Arabidopsis thaliana: one gene and its partner. The protein of the gene in region 1 interacts with the protein of each later gene in a pairwise test. Each region holds a gene or a part of one and is shown in the gene's direction. Other genes may lie near its edges. The genes, in order: BT4 and MYB11.

What was found.
Region 2: the proteins of BT4 (region 1) and MYB11 interact in a two-hybrid assay, tested with the Arabidopsis thaliana proteins (one large-scale study listed by BioGRID).

What each region holds. Positions count from the first base shown.
Region 1 is NC_003076.8:26,930,416-26,935,014, reverse strand, and holds BT4 (BTB and TAZ domain protein 4), read left to right. Parts: upstream 1-2,189; 5' UTR 2,190-2,485; coding exon 2,486-2,755; intron 2,756-2,895; coding exon 2,896-3,026; intron 3,027-3,134; coding exon 3,135-3,441; intron 3,442-3,516; coding exon 3,517-3,960; 3' UTR 3,961-4,075; downstream 4,076-4,599. Other genes in the region: AT5G67490 (succinate dehydrogenase assembly factor), read left to right, coding at 321-647. UniProt on the Arabidopsis thaliana protein: May act as a substrate-specific adapter of an E3 ubiquitin-protein ligase complex (CUL3-RBX1-BTB) which mediates the ubiquitination and subsequent proteasomal degradation of target proteins.
Region 2 is NC_003074.8:23,152,865-23,157,316, forward strand, and holds MYB11 (myb domain protein 11), read left to right. Parts: upstream 1-1,765; 5' UTR 1,766-1,893; coding exon 1,894-2,026; intron 2,027-2,442; coding exon 2,443-2,572; coding exon of another isoform or gene 2,573-2,576; intron 2,577-2,738; coding exon 2,739-3,507; 3' UTR 3,508-3,721; downstream 3,722-4,452. Other genes in the region: ATERDJ3B (DNAJ heat shock family protein), read right to left, coding at 1-92, 188-336, 412-482; AT3G62615 (uncharacterized protein), read right to left, coding at 2,496-2,576, 2,958-2,990. UniProt on the Arabidopsis thaliana protein: Modulates overall growth by reducing the proliferation activity of meristematic cells and delaying development. Flavonol-specific transcription activator involved in the regulation of several genes of flavonoid biosynthesis.

The sequences.
Region 1 (4,599 bases):
TTGGTAATGAGGTCTAATATATAAAAAGGTTACGGGTTCGAAATCAGCCCACGTCAACTTTACCCTCTAATTCTCTCCTATTTGTTTTATAAACATGTTAGGCCTAGCTCCTGATGGGCTTGTTAAACATAATTATACTGGGCCAAATTTACTCTCTAATTCTCTTAATTTATTTATAAACATGTAAATGATTGGGCCTAGATACTACTGGGCTTATTATCCAATTATGGCCCAACCTAAATGACTATCGAACCCTATACTATCACAAACCGTGAAGGTCGGATCTCTTTCTTGATTTGGCCGACACATCTGATCTAACAATGGCGACGAACAACATCGTACGTTTGATCGCTCCAAGCCGATCCGTCTCCTCTAGATTCCTCGAGCCAGTGTCACGGTTTCTAAGCTCCGGTACACCTCCTCCGCCGCAAGCTCCATCTCCGAATCAGGATCTGAACCGGGACGTGAAGCCAGATCAGAATCTTCAACAGAATCTGCAGATGCAGAAGGAAGAAGAAGAGGAAGGAGAAGGTGGTGGAGGTGGAGAGTTTGTGAACGAAGATACTGGTGAGATTGGAGGGCCTAGAGGTCCTGAACCGACTCGGTACGGCGATTGGGAACAACGTGGTCGATGCTCTGATTTCTGAGAGGATTCATGTATCCCTGTGTTTTAGCTTGTTCTTATATATTTCTGGGAAAAATGGAAATAAATTCGTTTTATGTGTTTATGTATTTGCAAAATAATGGAGAAAATGGAAGAAAATGTAGTAGAACTTCAAATTCGTTGCCTTTATTTGGATCATCATTCTCTGGTGATCTTGTTATTCCAGTAATAGTTAATAAGTTCTTCCTCAGGTGGGTTAAATGTGCATCTATACATCTCTATCTAAAAAATTTGGGACACTTTAATACAGGTTTAGTGATGATTTAGAATTAAGGAAACAACAAGAGATGAGTTTAACTAACCTGAGAGTTCAGAGTTCAGGTTTGACATTACCCGGTGGTTACATGAGTTCTGGTCCAAGTTTAGGCATGGCTGCATGGGTCAGTGAGATGATGTCAAGGTATTTCTGTTGTTCAACAACATTGCAATGTGCACTTCTGTGATAACTACAATTGCACAACTGGGTGATGCTCAAATTACAATTAAATCCGTATATGATATAAAATTACAATTAAAAATATCAGTTTACATGATATATGTATTATGTTCCAATACTCTTTAAAAGTTAGAAAAAGATTGGCATCATCATGCATTTTTTTTTTTTTTTTTTTTTTGAAGTTCTTATAACTTTACTCCGATCAAAAACTAAAAAAAAATACAAGAAAATGATCATATAAAAAGCATTTTGACTTCTTCTTCTTCTGTTTTAGATTATTCGATAGAAGAAACGTGGCATTATAGTAAACACAGAAAAAAAGGGAAAAAAGGGTAACAATCAATTCAAGCGAAGCTAAGAAATATGAAGAGAGACCAGTAAAATATTTATGACGCAATTTTGCGGACCTCAACATAATTCACGATTAGTTAACATTTTTGAAGAGAGTATCTGATCATGTGGTTAAAATTAAGACTAATCTAAATTTATCTTTGAAGAAGAAAGGATAATAATACGGATAAAAGTTTGAAAAAACGAACAGCTAATTATGAGCTGTGTAACGCCGAACAAGAACAAAAAAAACAAAGGACACACTGATCTGTTTTTGTACGGCTCTTAAATTAAATCATTTATAAAAAAAAAACATGCAGAGTCGTGTTTCAATTGATAAAGCCGATAATAAAACCAACTTGACGAAAGCTTTTTCAAGAACGAGGAAAAAAGGCCGTTAAGGCGCGTGGATTCTCAGCCGTCCGTTTCGTAACCGTAGACTCCACGCGCCTCTCGGGTAATTTTCGCAGGTGGGTGTCTCTGTTGATGATATGAACCAAGAAAATATCTTCAAATTATTGAACACAAAAGTAAGAAAAAAGTGAGATAATAAGGAAATTAAAACAATAAATTATCCTTTCGGTGGGATTTTTTTTGTCGTCTTCTATTGTTTTTGTGAGTGTGTGTGTTTATATAATGGTAAGAGATCTCTGATCTCTCAAGCTTCTCTATAGAGAGAGTTTCTTCTCATGCTCTTTCTACCAAGGAGAAGATTTTCTCGTTAATTTTGTTTGACTTGCCTCTTCGAAGCAACCTGATTCTGTGGTCTGAATCTTTTCAAGGTATATATGTCGGAACAAATTAGAGCATTGATTGATTCTTGTTCTTACATTTTCTATCGATCTGTTTCAAGAATTCTTGTTATTTCTGATTGATATTTTCGTGTGAATATATATGTAGAGATTTGTTCTTATCCTATTCGATTTGTAATCGTAAATGAGATCTGGTTACATAATGCTGTGAAAATTGTTGTCTGAGTCACATATTTCGTGTAGAAATGACAATGAAGTTTATCTGTGGCTAAAGAATCGACAATATATATTTTCATTTGATTGATGCAGGGAAGAGAAGATAAGCTAAACAAGAGAATGGTGACAGGTTGTGTTGATCTTCATCAATCTTTCAAATCTGCAGATTCATCTTCTGTGCCAATTCCTCCTCCTCTTCCATCAAAATCTGATGGACTCAAGAAAAAACTTGGGCATAGCAGCGTTTCGACAGCCACAAGAGATATGTGGGATCGTCTTTTCAATGACGGATACAAAGCTGATGTAGTCATCTATACAGATAATGGCAGTATCATCTATGCTCATGCCAACATCCTTGTAAGCTCTCCTTATAACTCCTTTGACCATAATTATCAATGTGTAGTTAGGATCTTTAGCTAAGCGAATACAGACTTTAGCAGTTGATTAGAAAGGTCTAGACTTGGTTGATATGGACATTGTCTTTCTTGAATTAATAGGGAACTGCTTCCACTGTGATCAAAGGCATGTTGAAGCAAGCCAAGAGACATGGCAAGTGGCATACAATATCAATCCGAGGTGTCCCTCATGATGCTGTGCGAGTTTTTATCCGTTTCCTCTACTCTTCTTGGTATATATAAATTCCATTTCTTCTTGCTCTCTATATTTATTTGCTCTGCCTCTTTTAACATTCGTCTTATGATCTTTTCACTGACGAAATCTGATTTCCTTTGTGTAGCTATGAGAAAGAAGAAATGAACGAGTTTATCATGCATTTGCTACTTCTGTCACACGCGTACGTGGTTCCTCAGCTGAAACGGGTCTGTGAATGGCATCTAGAACATGGTTTGCTTACCACTGAGAATGTGGTTGATGTGTTCCAGCTTGCGCTGCTGTGTGATTTCCCTCGGCTTAGCCTCATATCTCACCGTATGATCATGAAACACTTTAACGAACTCTCTGCGACAGAAGCATGGACAGCTATGAAGAAAAGCCATCCCTTTCTTGAGAAAGAAGTTAGAGACTCAGTAATCATCGAAGCAAATGTAAGTAGTGATTTAATAAACTTCCTTTTTTCCCTGTATTTTCTCCTAAATTCTAAATCTTGAACATAAACGCAGACGCGGAAAGAGAGGATGAGAAAACGCAATGATCAGAGGATATATTCGCAGCTATACGAAGCAATGGAAGCACTTGTTCATATATGCAGAGATGGATGTAAAACAATAGGGCCACACGATAAAGATTTCAAACCGAACCATGCAACGTGTAACTATGAAGCTTGCAAGGGATTAGAATCACTGATCCGGCATTTCGCAGGCTGTAAGCTAAGAGTTCCAGGAGGTTGCGTGCATTGCAAGAGAATGTGGCAACTCCTTGAACTGCATTCACGTGTTTGCGCAGGTTCTGATCAATGTCGAGTCCCTCTATGCAGAAACCTTAAGGAGAAGATGGAGAAACAGAGCAAGAAAGATGAGTCGAGATGGAAACTTCTGGTGAAGAATGTATTGGGGAGTAAGAAAATCGGAGGCTCTCCTTTCTTTTTACCGGTGACAAACTGTTAAAAAACATTTTGTCAATCTCAAGAAGGGCGAGTTTTAAGCGTTTCTTGTGATCCTATCTTTAAAACAAGTGTAACATAATGAGTTTGAATAAATGACACATATTTTGGTCGGCCAAGAGAGTCTCTGGAATATCAAATCCGGTCTACGGATCGGTTTAGTGATTAAGTGGCAAAATTGGTAATAAGCTCAGTGAGTCATCTTGTTGTGAAATGAACAGAAGAAGAAGAATCTACCAAATTTTATAGGACCCAACTTGCTTTGTTATTTTTAATAAATCCAAATATGGAAAAAAGGAAACGAAAAGATCGTGGTGGGAAAAAGTGACGTAGAACAAGACAAAAGCAGTAAGAGCTGAGAGGACGTGGTACAAGTGTACACAAAATCGGCCTCACTCACATCACATGTTTCTATTTCATTAAATTAGTAATGTTGGAAACATTCATTGTCACAAAACCAAATCCTCAACAATGATCGTATCATGTGTAGTATATATTTTCTTCTCCTTTCAAAATCCCTTTTTCTAATCACTTTCGTATTGGGTTCTGATTCCTTCAACAACAAAGAAACACAAAACTTAACCAAAATCAAGAAATTACGAAATTTTCATATATATATCTATCTATATTTAAATTGCTGACA
Region 2 (4,452 bases), on another chromosome or scaffold:
TCTTCCTCCATTTGCAGAAAACTGTTTAAGTCCCTCTTCACCATACTTGTTATATATCTCCCTCTTCTCCTCATCCGATAACACTTCATAAGCTATTACATCAAACACCAATACGTCAATTCTCAAAACTAAAAACGGGTGAGTTAACAAAGAGAGCAGAATCACACAAGTTGCAAAACGAAAATACCATTGTTGATCTCAGCGAATTTGCGAGTCGCTTCCTCATTTCCTTGATTCTTATCGGGATGATACTTCAAAGCTAGTTTCCTATAAGCTCTCTTGATCTGTTCATCAGATGCACCTTTCGGGACTTGCAACACATCGTAGTAACTCTTCCTAAATCCACAACACAGATTTTCTAAGCATTCACATTTTCCACACATTTCTGAAGGAATCGAAAGATGTTCTTACCCGGCAAGGACGCAGATGGCGTAGGAAAGAGCGAACAGTACGATACACAGCTCCGACCACCGAATCGCCATGGAAACGGAAATCGGATCTCTCCCAAGGATTACTCCAACCTGAGATTCGTTTCGATTTTAACAATGAAACCTCACAGAATGAACAAGAACGAAGATCTTCTTCGCTGATTTTTATGATTGGAAAACTCGAATCACTCTCTCTACTTGTTTTCGTGGAAACGATTCCAAAACTCGAGCCTCGTGGTCGGGTTACGTGTACACTGCAATGCTTAACCAATCAGGATTAAGTCTCTGACGATCGTAACCAATAAATATTAGCCACGTGGATAAACCAACGTCGAATCGCTGACTGTTCTTTTCGTCGACTTTAATGAGTACGACGTCGTTATACTCATATAATCTATACAAGGCGCATTAATAATGAAGCGGGCCTGTAACTCCCCTACGATTGTTATTCAATAAATGTGGCCTAACCCGATTAAAAACCCTAGGTTACTGGGCCCATACAAAATCGAGATTGTTTTATGTAAACCGATCTGGGGAGGCCAGATCCAAACTAGTTTTGCATATTTATGCATTATGGATTTTGTACCTACCATATTAAACTTGTTAATATAATGACAAAACCGCTGCTATGAGAAAATTTATTTCTTTAATCTTTATATAATCTAGACTATCTTAGTCACACATTACGTTGTGCATTGGTTAAACACTACTGGAGTATAAAACAAAAAAAGGTGGTTAAGTAATAAATACATATTTTGTTGCTTATTAATTACATGCAAAGAAACATAGACTGGTTTGGACAATCATGTCATATGTCAGGTCTCTTGATTCTTCGCATCTTCGACGAAACATTATTTACTAGACATACAATAATAACTAGACATCTCACACGAGTGGTCCCGATCCCCCACTAATACCATTTTACTGTCCATTGAAAAATAAAGAAACGTTGCTGACAATAGTAAACTAAATAAAATTGGTGTTTACATATTTTCCACGATACGAAGTAAAATATTGAGAAAGTATTACGCTTATGATTTTATTAATTGTTAGATGATTAACTGAATCCGAATTGAGCAGTATGATTAGAAACAAGTCAGAAATAATAAATGTATAACTAGTATTTAAAAAAAAAAAAAATGTATAACTAGTATTTAAAAACTATAGTTAGCATCTAATTAGAGACACTAGGACGACCCAGCTGGACAGCTGGTTAGTAGCTCTCGACCTATGATGAGCGCCTACGACTTTTGTTTCAACATAGACAAACGTGGCTCGTTCTATCACCTGAATATATAACCCACTCCTCTCTATTCTTGCATGTCACTCCTATAAATATTTAATACTAAACCAATCACTTTTTGTTGTGTCGTCACTTTACTTCTCTTTAAATAATCTCTTTCTCTAGTGATTGACTTTAGGAACAAGTGAAGTGAGTGATTTTTAATAATCGCCGGCCGAGAGAATGGGAAGGGCGCCGTGCTGTGAGAAGGTAGGAATTAAGAAGGGGCGCTGGACGGCGGAGGAAGACCGGACTCTCTCCGACTACATTCAGTCCAACGGCGAAGGATCATGGCGTTCTCTTCCCAAAAATGCCGGTAAAGTTTTTTTTATCTATACAGTACTCTGTCTCTCGACTATCGCATGCATCTCATAAGATAGTTTTTTTGTTTGGTCAAAATTTATAAGAGAATCTATATGCATCGAGAAGTTAATTAATCTTACGTACGGTTCAATTATACACCATGAGTTGTAAAAAAAATTAAAATAGAGACTTGATTTTTTTTTTTTCTATTTAATGTATCAGTTTCTATAAGGAATGCATAATATTTTAAAGTACATAAAGTGTTTATTGATAATTCAGACCAAATTGCCTTCTTGTTTTATTTACATGTATATATGGACTGTAACATCACAAATAAAACGATAATTTATTTCAATATTTAGGAAAAGATGAGTAATCGCTGCAGGCATTATTATGCCTTAATTAAAATCTGACGTACATTTTAAAAAGGGCTAAAGAGATGTGGAAAGAGCTGTAGATTGAGATGGATAAACTATTTGAGATCAGACATCAAGAGAGGAAACATAACTCCCGAAGAAGAGGACGTCATTGTTAAACTGCATTCCACTTTGGGAACCAGGTAACTTTTTCATTTGAACAAAAGTTTATTAATGTCGATATATTTCCAATAGAAAAAGTACACTATCACGTGAAATCATAAATCAAACTGTTGCTGTGTAACGTCGTGAAAAAAAACGTTTTTACAACAAAAAATAAGAATAGCGTCAACGCTAATTAAATTGCAGGTGGTCAACAATTGCGAGCAATCTACCGGGAAGAACAGACAACGAAATAAAAAACTATTGGAATTCTCATCTCAGCCGTAAACTCCACGGTTACTTCAGAAAACCAACTGTCGCCAATACCGTCGAGAATGCGCCTCCGCCTCCTAAGCGTAGACCTGGAAGAACCAGCAGATCCGCCATGAAACCCAAATTTATCCTAAACCCTAAAAACCACAAAACCCCTAATTCTTTTAAAGCAAACAAAAGTGACATCGTTTTGCCAACTACGACAATAGAGAATGGAGAGGGAGACAAAGAAGACGCATTAATGGTGTTGTCAAGTAGTAGCTTAAGTGGAGCAGAGGAACCCGGTTTAGGACCATGTGGTTATGGAGACGATGGCGATTGTAACCCAAGCATTAATGGCGACGATGGAGCTTTGTGTCTCAATGACGACATTTTCGATTCTTGTTTTCTATTGGACGACTCTCATGCTGTCCACGTGTCCTCATGTGAGTCGAACAACGTAAAAAACTCTGAGCCATATGGAGGGATGTCAGTTGGGCACAAAAATATCGAAACGATGGCTGATGATTTCGTTGACTGGGACTTTGTATGGAGAGAAGGTCAAACCCTTTGGGACGAAAAAGAGGATCTTGATTCGGTTTTGTCGAGGCTGTTAGATGGAGAGGAAATGGAATCTGAGATCAGACAAAGGGACTCCAACGACTTTGGAGAACCGTTGGATATTGACGAAGAAAACAAGATGGCTGCTTGGCTTTTGTCTTGAAAGATTTGACACCATGCATATGCCTTTTTCTCCGTTAGATTTTAGCAAAGACCCCACGTGGCAGGATCTGGTCGGTTTGTCAATAGAACATGTTTGTCCCCTAGCGTTCGTTTTTTAGTTTTAAATGTATTTATATTCTTTTTTATTTCTTTTCATGTGTAAATACGATTTTGGCGGTGGCAAATAAACAAAATAAAGTCGATCTTCTTAGTTCAATTACATATAAGCGATCCATTGATGATTACACCATTGATAGCCAACTTAAGTAATCTTTCGACTTTCGTATATATGTATACAAATATAATAAGAAATTTAAAATACAAAAAAAATATAAATAAAATTCAGTTCCATATTGTGAATCAGCAATTCTCACTATTGGTACATAGTCCAACACTTGCTAGTTGCATTCTAGGTGGAAGTATTTCAAAGAAACAAGTTTCTCTGATAGACTAATAATAGACCAAAACCCGAGCAAATTTCAAAGCATGTCGCCAACCACAACTCTTTTTTGTGTGTAAATGTTCACTGGTAAAGTGGTAATTAATGAACGTTTTGAATTTTGATTAAAAGCTATAAGACCATCTCCAACGAGAGGATGTAATCAAAAAATTGTTGGGCTCTCTTGTTTAATGACAATAAAAATAAATTAAAACTGATAAAAATCAAGAGAGTCGGCTTTCTGGAGAGAGTTTTGAGAATTTGAGAGAACCGTCGATGTGGCAACATGTGATTGGGTTTTCAATTTCAACAAAAAAATAAATGTGTGCGCGTTCTGTTCTATCTTCTTTCTCCTCTCTGCCCAAACGAAATTGACCAAAAGATGCAAAGCCCAATCATCGTTTCTTCTGAAAACTTTTCGCATTTGATATCTTTTCTTTGAAACTGAAATCAAGATACACAAACTGAAACCAATTTGTTCACCAAAAGAAAATAAAAATGCGTGGG